Linked DNA regions of Macaca fascicularis. The protein of the gene in region 4 purifies or fractionates together with the protein of the main gene of each other region. This does not show direct contact. Links are inferred from orthologs where the notes say so. Each region holds a gene or a part of one and is shown on either strand. Other genes may lie near its edges.

Evidence for each region.
Region 1: the proteins of PRKACB (region 4) and AKAP1 purify together in Homo sapiens (affinity purification with mass spectrometry; 4 studies listed by BioGRID and IntAct, counting the BioPlex papers as one, with this or other methods). This does not show direct contact. The link is inferred for Macaca fascicularis from reciprocal best matches to the Homo sapiens genes PRKACB and AKAP1.
Region 2: the proteins of PRKACB (region 4) and AKAP5 purify together in Homo sapiens (affinity purification with mass spectrometry; 4 studies listed by BioGRID and IntAct, counting the BioPlex papers as one, with this or other methods). This does not show direct contact. The link is inferred for Macaca fascicularis from reciprocal best matches to the Homo sapiens genes PRKACB and AKAP5.
Region 3: the proteins of PRKACB (region 4) and AKAP11 purify together in Homo sapiens (affinity purification with mass spectrometry; 5 studies listed by BioGRID and IntAct, counting the BioPlex papers as one, with this or other methods). This does not show direct contact. The link is inferred for Macaca fascicularis from reciprocal best matches to the Homo sapiens genes PRKACB and AKAP11.

Annotation. Positions count from the first base shown.
Region 1 is NC_088390.1:49,609,534-49,615,779, forward strand, and holds part of AKAP1 (A-kinase anchor protein 1, mitochondrial), read right to left. Parts: intron 4,787-6,246; 5' UTR 4,763-4,786; coding exon 3,034-4,762; intron 2,254-3,033; exon of another isoform or gene 2,152-2,253; intron 195-2,151; coding exon 61-194; intron 1-60.
Region 2 is NC_088381.1:132,283,318-132,288,804, reverse strand, and holds the end of AKAP5 (A-kinase anchor protein 5), read right to left. Parts: intron 3,799-5,487; 5' UTR 3,536-3,798; coding exon 2,252-3,535; 3' UTR 1,491-2,251; downstream 1-1,490. UniProt on the Homo sapiens protein: Multivalent scaffold protein that anchors the cAMP-dependent protein kinase/PKA to cytoskeletal and/or organelle-associated proteins, targeting the signal carried by cAMP to specific intracellular effectors.
Region 3 is NC_088391.1:21,591,704-21,597,949, forward strand, and holds part of AKAP11 (A-kinase anchor protein 11), read left to right. Parts: coding exon 1-3,660; intron 3,661-6,246. UniProt on the Homo sapiens protein: Binds to type II regulatory subunits of protein kinase A and anchors/targets them.
Region 4 is NC_088375.1:150,452,563-150,458,808, forward strand, and holds part of PRKACB (cAMP-dependent protein kinase catalytic subunit beta), read right to left. Parts: intron 5,387-6,246; exon of another isoform or gene 5,353-5,386; coding exon of another isoform or gene 5,284-5,352; intron 4,813-5,283; coding exon 4,684-4,812; intron 2,986-4,683; coding exon 2,887-2,985; intron 1,908-2,886; coding exon 1,825-1,907; intron 1-1,824. UniProt on the Homo sapiens protein: Mediates cAMP-dependent signaling triggered by receptor binding to GPCRs.

The DNA of each region.
Region 1 (6,246 bases), on a different chromosome or scaffold from region 4:
CCTGGCCCCAGGGAGCTTTGCGGGTTACCATGGAACCAGCCTGGGGGACTCCACCCCTACCTTTGGCACCTCGATCTCCCAGATGATGAGGTCGACCTTCTTAGGGTTGGAGCCTGCCTGGGCATTTTGGAAGCTCTCAGTCTTCTTGAGACTGCAACAGCTATCCACGGAATCCATGCTGTTCCTGTCAGAACCTGCAGGGGAGGAAGCAGCAGGCGCGCGCACACACAGACCCCAGCTCAGAGCAGCCAGTAACCCAGAACTTCCCAAACTCACATTCCCGGGAGGCCCTGCCCCACACCCGCTCCTCAAGCTTGGCAGGTGACTGTCAACTTACAGTCTAGAAGGCTCAGAACAACCCCAATGAAAGGAGGACTGGGGGTGTCGATACACCTAATTTTAGCCTGCCACTTACAGTCCCACTTGCTTAATTGGGAGCCGCACCCAGCCACAGCTGCTGGAGCAGACACACAAGTGGTGAACTGGGAAGGGACAGACTGCGCCCAGGGAAGGGGAGCCCACAGGGCAGAGGAGGAGACATGATTGAGGTCCACATGGTCCTGAGAGCCAGACCGATGGACTGCAAACACCTTGACACCCTTCCAACTATCCTACCCTCTCAGTCCAAGGGTCGGTCTCCTGTCCCCAGGGCCCAGTTCCAGGGTCACAGGTACAGGCCTTCAGCCAAGCAGAGCTAGACAAAGTCCTCATTGGCCTGCCTGAGGGCCCCATTCTTATACCCAGCGGGGACCTGCTCGTTCCTCTGCCATATGTGGACAAAAAAAGGAGAGTCTCCTTTCCCTTTGCTTAGGCCTGATTCGTGCAACTCTGAACACTCTTCTGGCTCAAATACTCCCTTGGTCAAAAGACGGAGCCAAAGCTCATGGCCAAGAAAACCCAATGGGAAAAGGACTCTGCTCCCGACCTGGGCTGTTTCACTCTCGCTCAAGAGTGTGCCAAAGGGACTGTCACAAAAAAGAGGGTCCAGATCAGCTCAAGAGAAGTGGCCCTGGCTTAAATATGGATGACTCAATCACCAGAAAGAGATCACTCCTGAGAGTCTACCAACTAGGTTACCTTCCACATGGTTTCTCCAAACCCTGGGCATAATCCTTTGCCAAGTAACCCATACACTGGATGCAGAGAACTAAGGCCCAAGAGATCCTGCTCCCAGCTAAGGAAGAATCACCTTCAAAGTGACATCCCCCCTTAACCTAGGCGCTTGGAACAGGATTCATGCAGGGAAAAGTACCCCTTCTAGGGGAAGACTGCTTGGCTAGGGAAGCATAACAGGCTGACAGGGGTTGGGGAAGGGGGCGGGGAGCTCTGCTCACTCACAGCCCCCAGCCTCTGTCCCACAGAATGGGACTGGCTAACACCTGCCATCTCGATGGCGCCCAGCAGTGGCTCAGAACCACACCAGGACTCTAGCAGGCTGCACTCCAAGGCCAGCTGCCAGCTCCCTCAGTAGGGTGGTCCCTGGACCCCTCTCAGCTTCAACTTTCTCACACACAAAGCAGAGCTGACATGAGGGTGCATGCGAGGCACTACCCTGGTGCTTGGCACCCACTGCATGCTCGTGGACAGTATTACCTCATTTCCACCCGCCATCTCTAAACCTCCCTGCCCATCACCATGGCTTAGGTTCAAGCCTAAACTCAACAGGTCTGAGTAGCTACTACTATCCATCTAGAGTAGGCAGACAAGGCTGTGGGGCTTGTTAATTCAGCCGAGGGGCAGTAAGCAAAGGGAAACTCCTTTATTCTTAAAAAATAAATAAAACAAAAAACACCCATTTTAAGATGCAATATTTTAAGAAACATTTAAACATCCAGAGATTAGGATGCATCATATAGTATCTGGCCTTCTATAATCATGACTGGCAGCACTTTTGTCCTTCCAAGGTACATAAAAACAGTAGTGTCGCAACAGCATCTTGGAGGTGACAAAACGTAGTGTGTGGTACAAACGAGATGCTGCCGAAAGTAGTAAAATTCCCGATCAAGATTCCCAACCTTCCTGGAGCTGAAATGGGAGGGAATGGCTCCAGGACAAACGTCAGAGAGGCACTGGGATACTCGTGGCCTCTCTCCATGAGATAAATGAAAACACCCCGGGGCGGCTGCAGAAGCAGGGTCAGGAGCTGCTGACCTGTAAGTTAGCGGTCTGAACTGTCTACGCTGGGGTCAGCACTCGAAAAACCCAGGACACCTCGTTATCAAAGTGCCCCGCTTTCCCGGGGTGGAGCTGCAACTGCACAGAAAGAAAATGGCTGAGGCTCTCTGCAAAGGTGACAGCGACAACTCAGGAAGCTCGAGCCTCCCACAAGTATTTAAAGCTGTGGCCATTCTTTGGGCACTTACCCTGTAAGAGCTTCTGGAGAAGGAAAGCAGGTGAAGACATGGGAACAAGCACATGATTAAAAGGAAATAAACCATTCAAAACACTCACACCCATACTTGGCACTCAAGGGAGGGAAAGCTAAGGAGACCTCTCCATTAAAACACACACACACACACACACACACACACACACACACACACACACAGAGGTTAGTGTTTAAAAAAGAAAAAAATGGGCTGGGCATGGTGGCTCACACCTATAATCCTAGCCCTCTGGGAGGCCGAGGGCGGAAGGATCACTTGAGCCCAGGAGTGCGAGACCAGCCTGGGCAACACAGGAAGACTCCATCTGCACCCAAATAATAATTTTTTTAAAAAAAGAAAAAAAGGCACACTAATGTTAATCAGTGAGCCCAACTTGGAGCTGGTTCCTTGGGAAGGGCTCACTGGGGAAGGTCACCGGCTGAGGAACCAAGTGACAGCTCCCAAGGCTTGGGGTTTCAGGGCAATCTAACTGCTCAGTTACCCACCAGCTTTATGCCGTGTCCAGCTCTCTGCAGGTTGGGACAAAGAGCTGAAGGGCACCATGACTTTGCTGCACAAGTAGCAGAAGGGAGAGGCAGACTGGCGGCCTTTCTCCAAGAAATACTGGGAGCGCCCCATCCTCTAAATGAACCCGAGACCCTCCTACCTCCTGAATGATCTGCTTCCACATCCATGGTCCATCCATCCTCAGCCCCCAAGTCTGACAACTCCCCCTTCAGTACCCCATTGCTGAAGGGCACAGTACTTTCTGGCAGTGGCGGCGTGATGGCCTTGTCTCTAGGGCTTGAGCTGGTCTCTGTGCAAGAGTCTTCAAGCCCTGAAGTGCTGAGAGAATCCGAGCAGTGTCCTGGGGAAGCCACCAAAGGGACACTTTGGCTGCTGTCTGACATGCAAGTGACACATGTGGCATCTTCCACCAGGATGCCCGCCCGGTCCGGCGACTCTTCACCAGGAGTGGTCGGTGGCAGGCAGGGGGTCAAGGAGATGTGGTGTGCAGAGATCTTTGGTTTACTGTCCTTGATGGGGCTGGACAGAGGGCTGTTCAGGCAGCTCACGTAGGTCTTTGGTGGTGCTGAGCCCTCTGCTGGTAGGCCTGGCGAGGGGAGGGCAGCATCCGACAGGGCAGCAGCTGCCTCTGCTGTGGCAGGTTCCCCAGTGTCGGAGCCCAAGACAGTTTGCTGGTGAACTGGGACACAGCTCTCTTCCTCCTGCCCTTGGAGCTGACTGGCCTGATACACACAACCTGTAACCTTGCCCACCGCGGTGGCCAGCACCTGTTCGGTTGCTTCCGAGATCACTTGGGAGATTATCTGGAAGGCAGCCTGCTCAATCTCCTCATTTCTATCCAAGCCCTCCCCATTTCTATCCAAGCCCTCCTCATTTCTATCCAGACCCTCCTCATTTCTATCCAAGCTCTCCTCATTTCTATCCAAGTTCTCCTCATTTCTATCCAAGCTCTCCTCATTGCCCAGTTCTCCCTCGACATCTCTGTCCTGGGCTTTGGCATCTGTGATTGGGGGTGCTGGTGCCGCATCGTCCTTTGGCAGCTCTGTGTGAGCCGACTTGATGAACCTACTTGGCAACTTCTCTGCTACATACTCTTCCTCCTGCACCGGCCCCACCTGGGATGAGCTGCTCTTCCCCTTCTCTTCTTCCCCTTCTAAAGAGGCTAGGTTGGGGGCCTTGCTGTTCTCCAATTCCAAGACATGCTCCTGAGACAATAGATCTTCTTCAAGCACCTTTTCCCCCAACACAGCATCACCGGTCCCTTCGGCCCCACCTGTCTCTCTTGCCCTCTCCCCAGAGCCATGCTTCTCTGGGGGCGCTGCAGGGTAGCCTGGCTGGCCCCTTCCTGGCACCCTACTGAACGGGGACTCTTGCTTACACACCTCAGCTGATTTGTGGGGGAATAGTACACCCTTTGGAGATGAAAGGGGGCACTCTAGAGGAATCAATTTGGTTTCACCACCTGTCAGGGCTAGCTCCAGCTTTGCACTGTTGTCTCTGCATGTTCCTGGTCGCAATCTCATGTCTATGGTATTAGGAAGACTGCCCGAGGACTCTGATCTTCGGCGAGGTGGGTGTGCCCGGAGCAATGCTGGTGGCTCTGCAGGCAGCTTGCTCATGGTGGACAGTTCCTTTTCTGGCGGCTCTGTGACGCTGGGGGGCATGGACACCACTTCGGGACAGACGTCTTCCATGGGAAGAGGTTCTTTGATGGCAGAGTCAGCCCTCAGCTGCACAGCACCAGCCTCCACCTGCTCATCATGGCTGCTGACGTGGCCTTTTTTACGAGAGAAAAACCACCACCAGCCGAGAAGTGCCAGCATCCCAGGCAATGCCAAGGGGAAGAGCGAACGGAACTGGATTGCCATCCTGCAGGCTTGAAGTAATTACACCTGGGGAGAGCAGGAGAGTGGGGAGGAAGAATGTCACAGAGCCAGGTAGGAAGATACTGGCAACTGCACATGCAAGACAGTCAACAGGGTAGGGCCGAAGCCATCTCCCCCACCTTCCCTGCCCTCCAAGAGGAGCACACTCTCAGCTTGTACCAGTCCACCCTCTGTGTGATCCACTGGGGGTCGGAGGCCAGGAAGAGGCATCTTCCCCTCCATGCTCCCCAACTCACACACCCTCTTGAAACAAACCAAGCATTCTGTTCTTTAACCCAAATTCCTCCCTCCATCACTTCATGATGCCAAAGTCTCCCTATGTTCCCCAAAGGGGCTGGCTCTGCTCAGTGTGGCTCAGCTCTCTAAACTCACAGAACATTTTTATCTATCAAGTGGCATCGGAGCATTTCAAACCCCCATGGAATCCACATGTACATGGGTTCCTCACATCTCCCCACAAAATGAGTCCATGAAATGGCACTTCATTACTCAGCAATTAGAGATGCTGAGAATGAAGGAGGAATAAAATTTCAAATGGCTAAGGAGATGCTCCAGGGTGAGGGACCAACACAGCAAACTGCAGCATGAAGGGCCAGGTCAGACTTGGAGGACTCAAGTACAGGCGGTCCCTGATCTTCCAAGGCTCAACTTAGAATTTTTCAACTTTACAATGGTGTGAAAGCAATACCCATTCAATGGAAACTATACTTCCAATTTTGGATTCTGATCTTTTCCTGGACTAGCGATATGTGATGCGCTACTCTCTCACGATGCTAGCTCCCAGTCATCCACTCTATCACAAGGGTGAACATCGGGCATCCAGAGTGGATCGTGCTGCTAGGTGATTTTGCCCAACTGTAGACTACTGTGAGTGTTCTCAGCTCGTGTAAAGTAGGCTAGGCTAAACTATGGTGTTCAGTAGGTTAGGTGCATTAGATGTGTTTATTTTTGATTTATGCTATTTTCAGCTTATAATGGGTCTACCAGGATGTAACTCCATTGTAAGCTGAGGAGCATCTGTACCCTCGTGGGGTCAGTGAGGGTGTCCCAGCGCCCCACTGCATAGTCTGGACTTTATCCTGTAGACAACAGAGAACCAGCATAGGTCTGCAAGGCACACACACCAAATTGTTTCTAGAAGGCAATTCTGGGAACAGGATGAAAAGTGCATCGAGGCTGGGCGTGGTGGCTCACGCCTGTAATCCCAGCACTTTGGGAGGCAGAGCTGGGCAGATCATCTGAGGTCAGGAGTCCGAGACTAGCCTGGGCAACACGGTGAAACCCTGTCTCTACTAAAAATACAAAAATTAGCTGGGCGTGGTGGCGAGCACCTGTAATCCCAGCTACTCAGGAGGCTGAGGCAGAAGAATCACTTGAACCCGGAGGCAGAGGTTGCAGTGAGCCAAGATCAAGACTCCATCTCAAAAAAGAAAAGTGAAGAGATGGAGCAGAAGGAACCTAGAAAC
Region 2 (5,487 bases), on a different chromosome or scaffold from region 4:
CCAGGATAGTCTCGATCTCCTGACCTCGTGATCCACCCGCCTCGGCCTCCCAAAGTGCTGGGATTACAGGCTTGAGCCACCGCGCCCGGCCTGCAAATACTTTCTATATGCAATCCATACACAATGCAAGAATTCACCCAGATCATTTAAAATCATCTAATTTGCATTCTTTCCTCCACATGGAGCTCTTGAACAAATACCTTACATCTCGTACTTCATCTTTATTACTTCATCTGTTTCAAGTAGTAACATAATCACTCAATTTACACAATGGGGGAATACACACTTTGAATCCTAACCTGTGAGGTAGGGAAGTGCATTGTGGTATTATGGCCATTTCACACAAGGAAAGATTGAAATAGGATTACTTTTTCAAAAAATATGGCAATCATTGATGAGATCAGATGCTTCCCTTTCAATATGTAAATAAAAATGCAAATAAGCCTTTCTCATTTTTGTAAAGTATATCTGGATTGAAAATAGTGATGAAGGCCGGGTGCAGTGGCTCACGCCTGTAATCCCAGCACTTTGGGAGGCCGAGGCGGGAGGATCACGAGGTCAGGAGATCGAGACCATCCTGGTTAACAGGGTGAAACCCCGTCTCTACTAAAAATACAAAAAATTAGCCTAGCGTGGTAGTAGGCGCCTGTAGTCCCAGCTACTTGGGAGGCTGAGGCAGGAGAATGTCATGAACCCAGAAGGTGGAGCTTGCAGTGAGCCGAGATCGCGCCACTGCACTCCAGCCTGGGTGACAGCAAGACGCCGTCTCAAAAAAAGAAAAGAAAGGAAAATAGTGATGAAAAAGTTAATTGTCAATATCCATGTAAAATGATTTTTACTGGTTTCTCTCAACACACAGACAGGAAGTAATATTGACATTTAAATTATAATGTGCTTTAACTTTTCACTTTCTATTCACCCACATTCATGGCTCATTTTTGGCCAAAAATAAATAATATTTGCACTAGATTATTAGGATTTTCCAGGACCATTACTACCAGCCTGGCTTTGAATCTACTCTCGCCTCTTTGGAGAGAGGTTGATGAATATGGCTCTTAAAGAAGTAATTCTGCAAGATGAATCCTATATTATCTATGATAATTTAATTGGGAATTTTCCCTTCTTCTGGATGAAGAATAATATTCCACTTGTTTTGTTTTTGCTGTTTCGTTTTTTAACTTTTCACAGATAAATCCATGCAGAAATGGATATATACAGATCTGTTGAGGCAGAAAGAAGAGAGGGAAAACCCACTCCTTGTTTCTACACTTTTGCACTTAGTAACAGTTTGCCTGATTGAAGGATTTGTGAATGGTTCTCCTTTTTTTTTTTTTCTTTTTTGAGATGGAGTCTTGCTCTGGTGCCCAGACTGGAGTGCAGTGGTGCAATTTTGGCTCACTGCAACCTCCACCTTTCGGGTTCAAGCAATTCCCCTGCCTCAGCCTCCCAAGTAGCTGGGATTACAGGCGCACGCCACCACGCCCAGCTAATTTTTGTATTTTCAGTAGAGACGGGGTTTCACCACATTGGCCAGGCTGGTCTCAAACTCCTGATCTTAGCTGATCCACCCTCCTTGGCCTCCAAAGTGCTGGGATTATAGGTGTGAGCCACCACACCCGGCCAAATAGCTCTTATAAGGGACTTAAGACTAGAAAACCACTCACGTTTAATTTCAATATGCGTATTCTGCACACTATCTGCTGAAATTGGGAAAATGCAATGTATTTTTTGAGTTAAGCCTACTGCTTAGGAATGTAACAATTACAAATCACATTCACAAAAGTAGCTCACCTTATTCACCATTTTAAACAACATATATGTGCACTGTAAAAATAAGTTTTTAAAAACTCAATGTGATGTTAGCCTATACACAGCTGAATTATCAAAAGGAAACCAGACTTTGTTATATCAGAGGTCATTAAAAAGCTTATGGCATACCATAAGTGCTCAATAAATACATCTTCCTCCCCCAAAGCACTCCAATCTCCATATGCCGTTTTAGCAACTCCCTGTATGTTATGTCACTTTATACTGCAATCTGTGCTGACTTCCTCCAATCCAGAAGTGACTGCATTTCAGTGGTAGAGTTTTATAAACTTGACTTAATCTTTAGCACTTCTGCGCTGGAATTGTACCTTTTAAGTTCTAGAGATGATAAATCTCTCATTTGTTACTGAGTAAGAAATGCCACAAATGTATAAAATAATTCTTCATTAAGCTTGTTTTTCCTGCCATGACTCTGGAGAGTAAGTCACTGTAGAAGATTGTTTATTTTATTATCATCAGAGGCCATTTCATTAACCAGCTGTTCTACTGACAACTGAATAGCATTCTTGACAAGAGAAGAGGCTGTTTCAATTAAGAGTGTTTCATATTGTTCTGAAGTTCTATCCTCAAAACCATTATCATTAGCAAAAACCCCTACTTGCTCATTTTCAGTTGAAATTAAGAATTGCTTAGGGACATTTTTTGATTTCTTAACATCAAATTCACTGATTTCAGTGTCTGTAATAATAATAGCAATGGGCTCTATTCGTTTGCTTTCTTCTAATTTGGACTTCTCTTCAGTGATCCCATTTTCTTTAAAATCTGATTCTTGGCTCAATTCAGTATCTTTTGGCTTAGTTTCTTCAGCTACAATCTCTCTACTTTCATAGTCTTTCCCATTTGGTGCACTTTTTAGGATATTGTTACTGGCTTCTTCCATAATTTGTTGAGCTGGGATTGCAGGTAAAGGTGGAACATCAGAAAGTACTATTTGCTGATGGTCTGTTTCTGAAGTTTCAAGTGGGCCTGCTTGCTGGGGTTGAACATCTTGTTTTTCCTTGACCGTTTCAATTTCTTCAAGGATTAGAGTTCCCGTTTGAATAGCAGAATGCCCATCATCTAATCCAAGTTCTACTGAAATCACTTTCTCTCCAGAAGTTATGCTATTGCTCACATTTGATTCACAGACTTCATCACCATCTTTCCGTGAGATGCCTTCACTTAGATCCTGGGTTGACTTAGCCTTTGTTGCCTGATCATTCAATGGGGTCTGTGTTTGTATATCCAAAATTTCAGCTTCTTCCTGGACTTTGATGCTGCAGTCTGAGTCTTCTATAATTTTGGAATGATTACTCCTTTTTGGCCCTCTTGGGAATTTTATGCAGGGAATCTTAAGTCTAGATTTTGCCTTTTTCTTAGAAAGATCAGCATCCTCAGTGTTTATTGCAGGTTGCACTTCAGCCTCCAATAACTTTTGCTGCTTTGAAGACTCTGACCTTTTCCTGCGTGTTACAAGACGTTTGAGTGAGGCCCAGGCCCCCTGTGGGGGCTCTGGCTGATCAGAAGCTCCTGCTTCTTGGGGACACTTCCTTGCCACATCAGCAGCTTCAGAGCCAACTTTGGGCTTCAGTGCTTTAGCTGCTTTCTTTCTTCTCTTGAAGCAAAGCATGGATGCCTTTTCCTTCTGTCTTTCAGCCCCAGGACTACCTTCTGCTGATCTCTTCTCATCCTTGTTTTCTACATGAATTTCTGAAACTGTGGTTTCCATTTTTACACTGTACTCTTATTCTCTAGAAAACTATATTCTCTCTTCCTTAGCAGCCTTTTGTGACAAAAAGATGGGCAAAAATGTCACACTAGGTAAAATTTCATCCAGGCATATTCTTACCTTTCATCTTACTCCATACAGTTGTTTTAGGTGGTTTCTCTAGTATAGAAATGCCCAGTTTCTCTATTGCTTGTAATTTCTCTCTTTAATTTCTTGATGAAAGCCCTTTCTTGAATAAATTTTTGCTTTATTTAAAGATCAACCTGATGAGAGAAAAGAAAGTGGTATTTTATTTCACTATGAGCCTATTATTTTCTATGGAGACTATTTCAGCTGAATGTATAAGATTCTACCAGGCATATTTTCCATATAATAATGAAATGACTGGAGAATAAACGTTGGGGTTTACTTTGGCCCTATTAAAGAGTTCAATGTGATTCTATTGTTTTATCCTCTTTGTTGAAACTTCATTTTGGATTACCCTGCAAGTCTGATATTATTAGTTCTTTAGTTGTGTTGTCTGTGTGAATTGCTTATGGCTCTAAAGTGCAAATTAAGCAAATAACAGGAAGAACAAAAAATGAAGTGCAGGATGAAAAACAAGCTAATGTATTTTTTATCACACTCAATAAATAATTTTAAAGCTGCAAAGGACTTTAGAGATTATTTGAGATTACTCAAATCCAGCCAGATGACAAAACTGAACTCCAGAGGGGAGCAATTGTCTTGTTAAAAGCCATGCAGCTAGATAAGGTCATAGCCAGAGTTAGAACTAGAGACTTTGACTCTCTAGTTTTTCCATTATAACATAAGGTTTCTGTTCTAAAAATGTATGTTCCATCAAGGAAGTGCTACTTTTCATACATATTCTTAGGAAAATTTAGCATTACTGTCATTTCCCACTCTTAAATTAGTTGTATAATTTTGACATTTTCATTTAAGTACTGTATTTGCTGTATCACATGTTTCCACCATAATCTGCACATAGTTGGAGGTCAGTAAGAGTAACAATAGCTGACATTTATTGAGCAATTCTTGGGTATTAGGCGGTGCACACACTTTTACATACATCTGTAATCCTCACCACAGTATTACAAAGATGGTGGTATCACCATCTACAGATGAAGCAATTTGGCTGAGATTAAGGCAGAGCTGTAACAGAGCTCAGATTAAACAAAAGATTGCTTGTTGCTTAAAGCTTATGTTCTGAAACTGGGCTTTAAGAGTTTCATCAGAAAATGGATTGTTTGGGGATACTAATCTGCAGTATATTCATTAGTAAAAAAATTTAAAAATTGATTAATGGTCATTTAATCACAAGGTACTTATCAACTCATAATTGAACCAAGAGTAGTCTGAGTTCTTGTTATTTGAAAACCAAGCTTTTGAAATTCTTTAAGCCGGGCACGGTGGCTCAAGCCTGTAATCCCAGCACTTTGGGAGGCTGAGACGGGCGGATCACAAGGTCAGGAGATCGAGACCATCCTGGCTAACACGGTGAAACCCCGTCTCTACTAAAAAATACAAAAAACTAGCCGGGCGAGGTGGCAGGCGCCTGTGGTCCCAGCTACTCCGGAGGCTGAGGCAGGAGAATGGCGTAAACCCGGGAGGCGGAGCTTGCAGTGAGCTGAGATCCGGCCACTGCACTCCAGCCTGGGCGACAGAGCCAGACTCAGTCTCAAAAAAAAAAAAAAAAAGAAATTCTTTATATTTTGCTTTTTCGGTTCAGGAACTAATTTAACAGCCAAAAATAGGTTGATAAACTATGCAATTGGCAAACTGTTAGATAATACAAAGGTGTATTGAAAATTTAATCCTCAGAATGGTATGATGGCACCAAAGAATGGAAATGGGAAGTGATTATCTAACAAAGATCCTATGAATTTTAGTGGGTGGATGCCCTAAAATAAGCAAAGGGACTCATTCTTTATATTGTTTTTATGTAAATCCTT
Region 3 (6,246 bases), on a different chromosome or scaffold from region 4:
AAATCTTGATTCTATTTATTACACCTATGAAGATTATGCAAATAACGTATCATGTGAAGTACTAGGCTCAGTTCTTCGTACTCAGCACACTAATGCCCTATCAAATATTATCAGTATTAAACATGGAGAAAATAAAACTGTAACTTTTAAGCATGGAAACCTTGATCAAAAAAATAAATCTAAAAATAAATCCTTAATGATTAAAGATAGCATTCAAAAATTTGCAGCAGATCTTGTGGAAAAAAGTTTTGGCAGTGCGTTTAAAGACTTACAGAAAGGAGTCTCTTCATGTACCAATGCGTTGTGCCACTTAGCCATCAAATTGACATCATCTGTTTTTCAGATGGCATTTAATGAGCTGAGAAGGCAGCGTGCATTTTCACTAAAAGAACGTGCCATTAGTGGCCTGGCTAACTTTTTGGTGAGTGAAGCTTTATCAAATGCCTTAAAAGATTTACAGTATGTAAAGAAGCAGATATTCACAAACACAGTTGCTAGATTTGCTGCAGATCTTGCTGAAGAGCTTGTTTTTGAAGGCATCATGGAAGTGTGTCAGTTTTCGTATCCTCAAACGCCTGCATCTCCACGGTGTGGGTCATTTCACTTTGAGGACGAAGTAGTGAAGTCATATGCAAAAGATTTGTCTGAATCTGTAATACAGGAAGCGTTCATTGAGCTATCACAAGTTGATGTGACCTTTACAACAAAGGCAGCAGTTAGTGTCTCTACGGATAATATCAAGTATGTGAGTGCAGAAAGTGTAGTGCCATCAACACAGGCTGTCACGTTTTCCCCTTCTTTTCACAATCAAGCAATTATGGTGACAAAACCAGTGCAGGAATATAAAAAGGAATACACAGTGCAGCAGGCCTTGTTTTGTACTTCTGGAATTGTTACTTCTATACCAGTGCCCTTGGCAGGAAGTGCCCTTCTCCCATATCATATTTCATCTACTGCATGTCAGGCAAAGGCTCATCTGTCATCTGATGATAGTAATTCAAGTGGTGATTCTACCCAAGTGCATATTGCCACAAAAAACAGAGAAGAAAAAGCAGCTTGTCTCAGAAATATTTGTTTACCTTCAGAACACAATCCAGGTAACGAGAATGATTTTAAACCAACTAATGATCTTGAAATGCAGAGTTCCTCAAAATTACCAAGTGATCCTGCAATTATTAGCAACTTTTCTGCAGCAATGGTGCATACGATAGTAAATGAAACTTTAGAGTCAATGACATCATTGGAAGTTACAAAAATGGTTGATGAATGTACAGATTATTTAACTAAATCAATAAAGGGGAAAACCCCTCCCTTTTCCCACTGTGGTCAGGCAGTGCTGCAATGCAGTGAAGCTAGTAGCAATAAGGACATGTTTGCTGACCAGTTACCTAAATCTATTATTAAACATTCCATAGATAAGAGCAAATCAATGATCCCAAATATAGATAAAAATGCAGTATACAAGGAAAGCTTGCCTGTTTCTGGAGAAGAATCACAGTTGACACCAGAAAAGTCTCCCAAATTTCCTGGCTCTCACTGCTCACTTTCAGCTGGAAAGGATTGTGTTCCAGAATGTAAAGTTTCTATGGTTCATGGATCCTCCCTAGAGACACTACCATCTTGTCCAGCTGTGACAGGTCAGAAATCTGACTTGAAGGAACCTGCTAAGGATCAACCACTGAAAAAGCATAACTTGAATAATACATCACTTGAGTCTTTGTCTTTTGGACAGGAAAACCCCTTTCCTCATTCACATACTTTCTCATCTACAGCACTTACCTGTGTAGATGGTTTGCACGTGGAAGATAAACAGAAAGTCAGAGACGGAAATGTAATACCTGATACTCCTCCATCAACTCCTCTAGTACCATCCCAGGCTAGTTCTGAATGGGATATCAAGAAATTAACAAAAAAGCTCAAAGGAGAATTAGCCAAAGAGTTTGCACCTGCTACACCACCTTCTACTCCACACAACTCATCTGTTGGTAGTTTGTCTGAGAATGAACAAAATAGTATAGAAAAAGAAGAGTTCATGTTGAAACTCATGCGATCTCTTTCTGAAGAAGTTGAGAGTAGTGAAAATGGAGAGCTCCCTGAAGTGGATGTGAAGTCAGAGCACTCAGGGAAGAAGGTTCAGTTTGCAGAAGCATTAGCTACACACATCCTTTCTCTTGCAACTGAAATGGCAGCTTCCCATTTAGATAATAAAATAATTCAAGAACCCAAGGTTAAAAGCCCTTGCTTAAATGTGCAAAGTCAAAGAAGTGTGTCACCTACTTTCTTAAACCCCTCAGATGAAAATTTGAAAACATTGTGCAGTTTTGCAGGTGATCTGGCAGCAGAAGTCATTACAGAAGCTGAGAAAATAGCAAAAGTTCGAAGTTGTATGCTTTTCAAGCAAAAGAAGAACAGATGTTATGCTGATGGTGATCAAGATTATAAAGTAGAAGAGAAGTTGGATATAGAGGCTGTAGCGCACCCAAGAGAAGTGGATCCGTTTATTCTTTCATTACCACCAAGTTCTTGTATGTCAGGTCTGACGTATAAGTATCCCAGCTGTGAAAGTGTGACAGACGAATATGCAGGTCACATTATTCAGATACTAAAACAAGAAGGTGGTAATATTGAGTTGATAATGGATCAGTATGCCAATAGACTTGCCTACCGATCTGTTAAATCAGGATTACAGGAAGCAGCTAAGACAACCAAAGTGCAGTGCAATTCAAGAATGTTCCCTGTGCCAAGTTCACAAGTGAAAACAAACGAACTGTTAATGTTTTCAAATAAAGAGCACCACCAAGAAGCAGACAAAAAAAGACAAAGTAAAAGAAATGAAGATTACTTTTGTAAAAATCAAACTTGCGAAAGGACCCTGGATCCATGTAGAAATGAGTGCTCTGAACTGTATAGTTTTTCAGCCTCTTTCGTTCACAGCATAACAAAAGATGCTAAAGAAGAGCTGACAGCCTCTCTAGTTGGCCTACCAAAATCCTCAACAGATTCTTGCTTGTTCGAAAAATCCGGATGTGAAGGAGATAAAGAGTGTCATGTTAAACCAGAATTGCCTAAGTCTCTTCAGCCTTCCTCGCAAAGTCACAGATTTTACCACAGCACTGGCAGTTTAAATGGATATGGTTGTGGAGACAATATTGTTCAAGCTGTAGAAGAGTATGCCAAAAAAGTAGTGGATGACACTCTAGAGCTAACTCTAGGATCTACAGTGTTACGAGTGTCTGAGACCACAAAATCAGCAGACAGGGTCACTTATGCAGAAAAGTTGTCACCTCTTACAGGTCAAGCTTGCAGATATTGTGACCTTAAAGAACTCCACAATTGCACTGGAAATTCATCTCAGAACTTTTTCAGACAGGGTTCTCTCGCCAGTAGTAAGCTAGCTTCTAATCCAAAATTTAGCAGCCACTATCAGAAATCTAGGATTTTTCATCTCAATGTCCCTCAGATTCATGTTAATCTTGATAAGAAGGCAGTGCTTGCTGAGAAGATAGTTGCTGAAGCCATTGAAAAAGCTGAGCAAGAGGTGAGCAGTGTCAGCCTGGCAGCCGACAGTGGGATCGGACAGGAGGGTGCCAGCTTTGCTGAAAGCCTTGCCACAGAAATCATGACAGCAGCTGTCACAAATGTTGGGCATGTTGTTAACAGGTAAGTTTCATATTTCCTTTGGTTGTTAATGATAAATGAAAAAGTTAAATGTGATCCTATATGTCTTAGGTCCTGCTCATAAAGGAATGATTATTTTTAACCCTACATAAACAAAAATTTTCCCTATTGCATTTATGTATTGTTTCACATCCTACACATGACTTTTATATATTTTGGTCCCCTGATCCCTTTTGAGGGAAGGTGTTATCCATTTACAGAGCTGGAAAATGAGAGTTGGAGAAAATAATCACCTTATCCAAGTTCATAGAGCTATGAAGTAGGTAAAGTTGAATTAAATAAATAGCTAGAGAATTTTATATAGTAGTCCCCCCTTATTCTCAATTTTGCTTTCCTCAATCTGAAAATATTAAATGGAAAATTCCAGAAATGAACGATTCATAAGTTTTAAGTTGCATGTTCTGAGTAGCATGATGAAATCTCACACCGTCTCGGGATGTGAATGACCCCTTTGTCCAGTTTATCCACACTGCATGTGCTGTTCACCTGTTAGTCACTTAGAAGGTATCTCAGTTATCAGATCCACAAACCTGGTATGTACAGGGCTTGATGCTATCTACAGTTTCAGACGTCCACTGGGTGTCTTAGATCATATCCCCCAGGGATAAGGGGGGACTATCCTATAGTAAATGTAGAATATTACCATATTAATTTACTATTCTGAGACTAAATTTTTGTATACCTTTCTTCATTCACAAGGGTAAGTTTTCTTATAAAGACCATGGTTTAATCAAACTGCTCTGAGGAAGAAAGCGAAAATTCTTTACATACTTATACCATTTCTCTTGATTAGTTCACAATCTAAGGGGACAGTTCTTTCTGGTAGTCCTACAGTGTCCTGTTTTCAGTAGTTATCTCTTGTGCTTAGTGATTCTTTTTTTTTTTTTTTTTTGAGATGGAGTCTCACACTGGTTGCCCAGGCTGGAGTGTAGTGGCACAATCTCAGCTCACTGCAACCTTTGCCTCCCAGGTTCAAGCGATTCTTGTGCCTCAGCCTCCCTAGTAGCTGAGATTACAGTCACCCACCACCACCACGCCCAGCTCATTTTTATATTTTTAGTAGAGACAGGGTTTCACCAAGTTGGCCAGGCTGGTCTCGAACTCCTGACCTCAGGTGATCTGCCCACTTCAGCTTCCCAAAGTGCTGGGATCACAGGCGTGAGCCACTGTTCCCAGCCATGCTCAGTGATTCTTTAATAACAACTTAGAGTTTTTCACTTTAAACCTTCTTTGTCCCTGAGAAGATATCAGGACCAACTTGTGTTATTAGTTGATAGGATGATATTTGTAAGTCCTGCTGGAAAGAGAAAATGCTTTAAGTTGAGGTGGAATTTAATTGAGTCACATGATATTCCAGATTTTTGAGTAGCTTCTGTCAAAGCCATGACATGATCTGCCTCTTTTCTTATCCATCTTAAAATAGGGAGATCCAGCTTGACCAGGATTCTTGAATCCAGTTGCTTCATAGCATCTACTTGAGATGAGAGATGCTGTAGGTTTCTGGTGAATTAGGAGAGGTCTCTATTTGCCCTAATCAGGCAGCCTTCTTTCTTTTTTTTTTTTTTTTTTTTTTTTTTTGAGACGGAGTCTCGCTCTGTCGCCCAGGCTGGAGTGCAGTGGCCGGATCTCAGCTCACTGCAAGCTCCGCCTCCCGGGTTTACGCCATTCTCCTGCCTCAGCCTCCCGAGTAGCTGGGACTACAGACGCCCACCACCTCGCCCGGCTAGTTTTTTGTATTTTTAGTAGAGACGGGGTTTCACCATATTAGCCAGGATGGTCTCGATCTCCTGACCTCGTGATCCGCCCGTCTCGGCCTCCCAAAGTGCTGGGATTACAGGCTTGAGCCACCGCGCCCGGCCTGGGCAGCCTTCTTTCTACTAGACCAGGGGTTGGCAAACTACAGTCTGTGGGCCAAATGTGGCCTACTGGTGGTTTTTGTATGGATTGCAAGCTACGAACAGATTTCATGTTTTTTTTTTTTTAAATGGTTGAAAAAAAATCAAATGATATTTTGTGACGTGGAAATTATATGAAATTCAAATTTCAGTATTTATAAATAAAGTTTTATTGGGACACAACCATGCTCATTCAATTACATATTTCTGTGGCTGCCTTTGTGCTATAATGGCAGAGTAGAGTAGTTGGGACAGAGGCTGTATGACCAGCAGTACCTATGTACTTCCTATCTGACCTGTATTAGTTCATTTTCACACTGCTATAAAGATACTCCCTGGGACTGAGTAATTTATAAACAAAGGAGGTTTAATTGACTCACAGTTCTGCATGACTGGGAAAACCTCGGGAGACTTACAGTCATGGCACAAGGCAAAGGGGAAGCAAGTACCTTCTTCACAAGGCAGCAGGAGAGAGAGGGGGGAGCTGCCAGACACTTAAAACCATCAGCTCTCATGAGAATTCCCTCACGGTCATGACAACAGCATGGAGGAGGCTGCCCTCCTGATCCAATCACCTCCCACCAGGTCCCTCCCTGGGGGTTACAATTTGAGATGCGATTTGCGTGGGGACACAGAGCCAAACCATATCATGCCCCTTATAGAAAACAGTTGT
Region 4 (6,246 bases):
TTAGTTCCAAAGCACTGCACAAATAAATTTTACTATACTGTTAATTTTTTTGTACTATCATTTGTAAGCTTTGTTCTTAGTGCCTATCTAATCTTTGTAAAGGCAGCCGTCCCAACAGAATAACATTAACCCAACACTTAAAGATGATTGCTAATACCTATGGAAGTGAAAAGAAGGAATTCGATGCTGGACTCCAGACAAAAATCTACTTTGAGAAAAATTTTCCTTCTGGACTCTTGGTTACTTGAATGTGGCCCAGGTCCCTACATAGAACCCCACAATACCTTCTCTCATATGTGTGACAGAGACAACTAGAACAAGTCCATCCCAGAACCAAGGAATAATTAAGCCTAACTTCAAGATGGTTGATAAGCAATGCTTTCAGAGAAAGATCTTGATCAAAAGGGAAAAATGTGAAAGCTGATTACACAAATTAGTCATTCTCATCATACCCAAATAAATCAGAGTTGAGGGGCCAGGGGAATAAAGCACTCAGGGCACACAACACCTGCTCCAAGAATTAAGGCCAGGTGTGGTAGCTCACACCTGTAATCCCAGCACTTTGGGAGGCCAAGGAGGGTGGATCACTTGAGATCAGGAGTTCAAGACCAGCCTGGCCAACATGGTGAAACCCTGTCTCTATCAAAAATATGAAAATTAGCCGGATGTGGTGGCGGGCACCTCTAGTTCCAGCTACTCGGGTGACTGTGGTAAGAGAATCACTGGAACCCAGGAGGCAAAGGTTGCAGTAAGTCAAAATGGCACCACTGTACTCCAGCCTGGGCAACAGAGGGAGACTGTCTCAGAAAAAAAAAAAAAAAAAGAATTAAATTTTCCACAAGCCTAGCTGCTGAAACTGCCCATTGTAACCTGAAACCAGTTTTCTCTAACAGCTACTGAGACAATCTACTGCAATTCTTAGCCGAGTTTGACCCCCCACCGTCACTCACCAATCAGAGCTTGCCAGCTCCCCAAAACTTAACTAGTGCTAGTAAACTTTGTTTCCAAACAAATAAATATAAAATTTATTTTTATAAAACCTCCAACCTTTTCTTTGTTTTGTAGACACATTGAAGACCACCTAGTCTGTGTATATGCCTCAAACTGCAATTCTTGCTTCCTCAATAAAATGTTGAATTTAGAGATTTGTCTCTACATTTTTGACTTCAACATACTATACTGAATGAAGTTGTATCTGTTTTTTATTTTAGCTTTATTCTATTAGTGATTATTAATGAATAGTAGAAGCTTACAAACTATTACGTACAGGCAAAACTATCAGATTCTATAACCTATTTTAATAACTGTGAGATCTTATTAGTCATAACCTGATGAGGTACAAACTCCTGTTAAATTATGTATGTATTTTAAAAACTAAACTTTGCAAGAACTTTAAGGAGAATTAAATTTGTGAAAAACAAACTTTTATAATCTTATTACCATAATACCATTATTATTATTTCTCTATATATTTATTTTCCATCTTCATCCTTAAAACAATCCTCTGTCCTAGAGTTGTATTAATATTTGTTTAATAAATGTTGATATTTTAAAATTCAATTAATTTTTGCATTTTCTGAAAACTATTCAAGTAGTGGACCCTCACAATATCTACCAATAGTATAACATTTAAATTGGCTTCGAAGTCCTTTTATTTGAATTTTAAAACTTGTGTATGATGTGGCCTCTTTGTTTCCACCTAATGCTTCAAATGGCCAAAATATTAATCAAACAAAATAAGTTTTTGATATTGGCATCAACTTAAAAATCTGGTTAAACAACACAAGCCTATAAAGATTTGAAGAAGACAAAAGCATTAGTTACCTGAACCTTCCAATTCTTCTTAGATGTGAAAACATTTCACCCCCAGGCACATATTCCATAACCATGTATAAATTAGAATTATCCTATGAACAAATAAAAAGGAAATACAATTATTCAACTTAGGTCAAAATTATTTCAATATTATACCATGTTGAATTAGAAAAATTTAACATCTTTCTGACAGATTAATAACTTTGAGAAATAAAGAATAAATGGAACATGCTCTAGTTTTTCTATACAGAGACACTCATATTTTTCCCCTCCTAGTTATTTTTGCCACAAATTAGTCTGGGACTTTTGCTCTTCCTTTTCTTGCAGAGAACATCTAGTTCTTGAACAATTAAACACTCAGGCAAAGAAATAATGCTATAATATATGCAAAAGAATAACAAAGTTAAAAAACAATTTGAAAAAGTAAGAATATTTACACTTTATGTATAAAAGATTAATGGTTTTAATATTTTAAATACATAGGTCTTAATTTAATTTAAAGAATAAAGGAGAAAAAAGATTAAAATGTTTCATATGATTAAATATTGCAGAAAGATGCCAGTATCATTCCGAAGAGCTGAAAAGTGGCCAATTTAAATAATAACTCTTATACAATTTTTCAGACACTTAAATAATGGAACAAAAATTATTCAGCTTTGTATAAGTAAAAAGACTAGAACTCAAATTACTAAGTAAAAGAAGATGAGATACTGGCAAAAAGGGCTTAATAAAAGTAGAAAATGTGTTGGGTATATGAATTTGCATAAGAATTGTTTAATAAGATATCCCTATGGTTTTTGATAAATTGGAGTAATTCTTTTTGTAATACCATCTCATGAAGAATTGCATGTATCACCTTTGAACAATTTCTCCAGGGAGAATCAAAACCTTTTCAAATGTTACCTAAGTTATAAGCACAATAGGATTTAATTACACAAACTCGAGAGGTATTTGTTTTGTTTATTTATATTTTTTAGGTTTATCATCTGGTTTAGAATCCTATTTATAGTTTCATCTTAAAAAAAGCATATTAGGTTGAAAGTATCTTATTTAGATATTACTAAAATTTACCTTAAAAGCATACTCCAGTCGAACAAGGAAAGGAAAATTCACTGCCTGTAATATTCTTTTCTCATTCAAAGTATGCTCTATTTGCTTCAGTTTAACAACCTGTAATTGAGAGATAAATATTTCTTTTATGTATTTAAGCAAAATCAAAAAGTTATCACTTAAAAAATGTAATAAACTTGGATAAGGAAAATTGTTAGAATTGGATAAGGAAGAGAATAACAATTACCAACTATTAGGTTGGTGCTTAAGTAATTGTGGTTTTTGCCATTACTTTTAATAACAGGATTCAAATAAAAACCTAAGAGAGGATTTAAAACTTGGTCTTAGGAAGATCAACTACAGTTTCAATTAAGAAGTGAGAGCTAAGTAGGAATAAGAAACAAACCCATAAGAAATTACTTTAAAAATTAGTTATGTCAATTATACTTAAATAAACATATATCTATATAATTACTTAAAGTAATTTAAAAATTAATGTGAAAATACTAACGTCCTAATCACTCAAAGTCCTCTGTAAAAGCTGGCTCAAATCTCTGCAATAACTAGATACTGACTTTAAATACTTCAGAAGATGAATAAGAAAATTAAGAATGAAGAGAAAGCCCATAATTGAAAAATAGTGAGTAAAAATGAACAATTTTCATTTTATAATATCTAAATAAATATAGGTATAAATTCTAAAAGTTTATTTTATATCGCTATAGAAGAGGATGCACAAAATATTGGGGAAAAAACTACCTTTTTAACAAAAACTATCTTTGTATCCTAGGTCATTCAGACTTAGGCTTCCTCTAGATTTTCTATTCAATAGAAGGGGAAAGTAATTTATCTTGACTTCACGAAGATTGTAATTCTATTCCATATGTGATTCTATTTTGAATTTTAAAAGTGGTGACCTTAGCAAGACATATAAATAATTTTCTTTTATATGTGTAAATCATTAGAAGGTGGCATACTTTCTTGCCAGAGTCTAATGGTCAATGTGAGGACAGTCACAGATGTCAAGAAGTTAAACATAAATAAGAAAAGTAATTAAAGATAGCAGCCAGGTATTAATATATAAAATTAGGAGTATACTGATAATACTGAGCAAAAAAATTGAGTAGGAGTCAATCTGTGTTTTAATCTAGGCCTTCTATTTAACTAACTTTCTGACTCTGGAGATGCTTTCAAATCTTTGGGCTTCAGGTTTTCAAAATCTGTAACATGAAGTGGTTTGGTCACTACTGTACACATTTTAACTTCTGTAATAGTTAGAAAACAAATTAGTCCATAATTGTCACAATAAATTACAGTTGTCCATCAGTATCCCTGGGGGTTGGTTCCAGGACCTACAGCAGAAACCAAAATGCCCAGGTGCTCAAATCCCTTATATAAAATGACAGAGGCTTTGCATAAAACCTATACACACTCTCCAGATACTTTAAATCATCTCTAGATTACTTATAATACCTGATATATTTTAAATTCTATGTAAAGGGTTGTTACACTGTATTGTTTACGGAAAAATAACAAGAAACAAAAGTCTGTACATGTTAGGTATAGATGTAATTTTTTTCCCAAATATCTTCAATCTGTGATTGGTTAAATCCATGGATGTGGAACCCATGGATATGGAAAGGCTGAATGTATATTAACTATGCATCATATAGTTACAAAAAATAGGAATAAAAATTAAATTTAATAATATAATTATTTGAAGGTGTCAATGGTAAGTCATTATACTGAATCTGTTTAATAGTCTGGCTGATAAAACTAAAGTTTACCCTGAAAGTAAATAACAACAAATACACTCACCTTCTGCTTATCTAAGATCTTCATGGCATAATACTGTTCAGTAGCTTTGTGTTTTACCAACATGACTCTTCCAAATGAACCTGTTCCAAGGGTTTTTTTCCTTTCAAAATCTTCAAGTCCGGCATTATTCTATATGTAAATACATAAATAAAACTTAAAATTCTCATAAAAACACTATGGGAATTATAAATGCTTTAATAATACATAATCATAATGGATAATCCCATTTATAACTATCCATTTAAAAGCAATACAAAAAGGCTATTGAGATTCCAGTTTATCGATTCTATTTTTCCCTTTGAACAAGAAGGGATTTAATATCTGAGGACAGAATGTATTGGAAAACAGAGCATAATAGTAATAGGAGGAAATAAGAGCCTCAGCTGAAATATTAAGGATTATATTCCAATATGCATTTCTAGTATTGGACTTTAATCTTAGTACTGAACTTCCGATAAATGAGTTTCATATTTTAATAATTACAAACTGACCAGAGGCATACTGACAAAGAGTCATAGAAGCCATACAGACTTAATGCACTTGCAAATAACTGTAATGAATAGATAAACTGAGGGATCAGAGCTCTTTCACTAAAGTTACCTGTGAAGAAATCAGTCTTGCTTCATTTCTGTCTTTATATAAGCTTATAGAACAAGATAATAGCAGCATGAGAGAGCCTAGTGGCTTTCTCTCTTTATGTTATAAAACCACAGCATTATCTAAAACAATAACAATAAGGAAAGAAGAATTCCTCATTCTACAAAGAACCAAAAGCCAGCATCCCAGAACAATAATCAGACTCTTTTTTTCTTGAATAGATGTTTTGTTATAAGGAAACATCTTTGTTTGGCTTTGACTACAGAGCAGAAGCAAATAATTGGAGGCATCAATCTATTAAATTTGTTCCTGCCACAACAAAATGAAAATTATTAGGAACAAATTATGTGTTAAATAGCAACAAGTAGTAATTGCTAACCCTTTTGTTTAATAGGTTTCATTGCAAAGAACTCCATGAAAATATCAGAAAAATATTCTGAAGGCCCAGTATATAGTGTTTAGCTTGAGAAAAATGTGATGCAATATGATTCTTTATCCAGTGAGGAATCTGTATAGGTATTACAGTTCACTGTAGTTGGATTTTATCTGTATTTCAAATCAAACCTTGCCTTTTGAGACCCATTTTAGCTTCCTGTTGGATCATTACAGAGAGCAGGCAATTCTGTTTCACTTATAACTTGTTTTCATCATATTTTGATTTTGCAGCTTAAAATTTAAAATAATTTCAAGTAGTTATAAGATTTTTTTATCAACACAAAAAGCCCTTCTAATTCTGACTGAATTAATATTTAAGTTTAGGTTTTATCAACATAGGTGGATTAAAATGTTCACCATAGTCCCAACCAAATAATGAAAACAAATTTTATTAACAGACAACAGAATATGTGTTTCTGCTCTTTATGCTTTTTTCATTGCTTTTATTTGTATTATAAAAATACGTTATCTTCCTTACCTCTCTTATTGTTTCATGTTATACAATGTCTAATACTTTGTAATCACAATGTT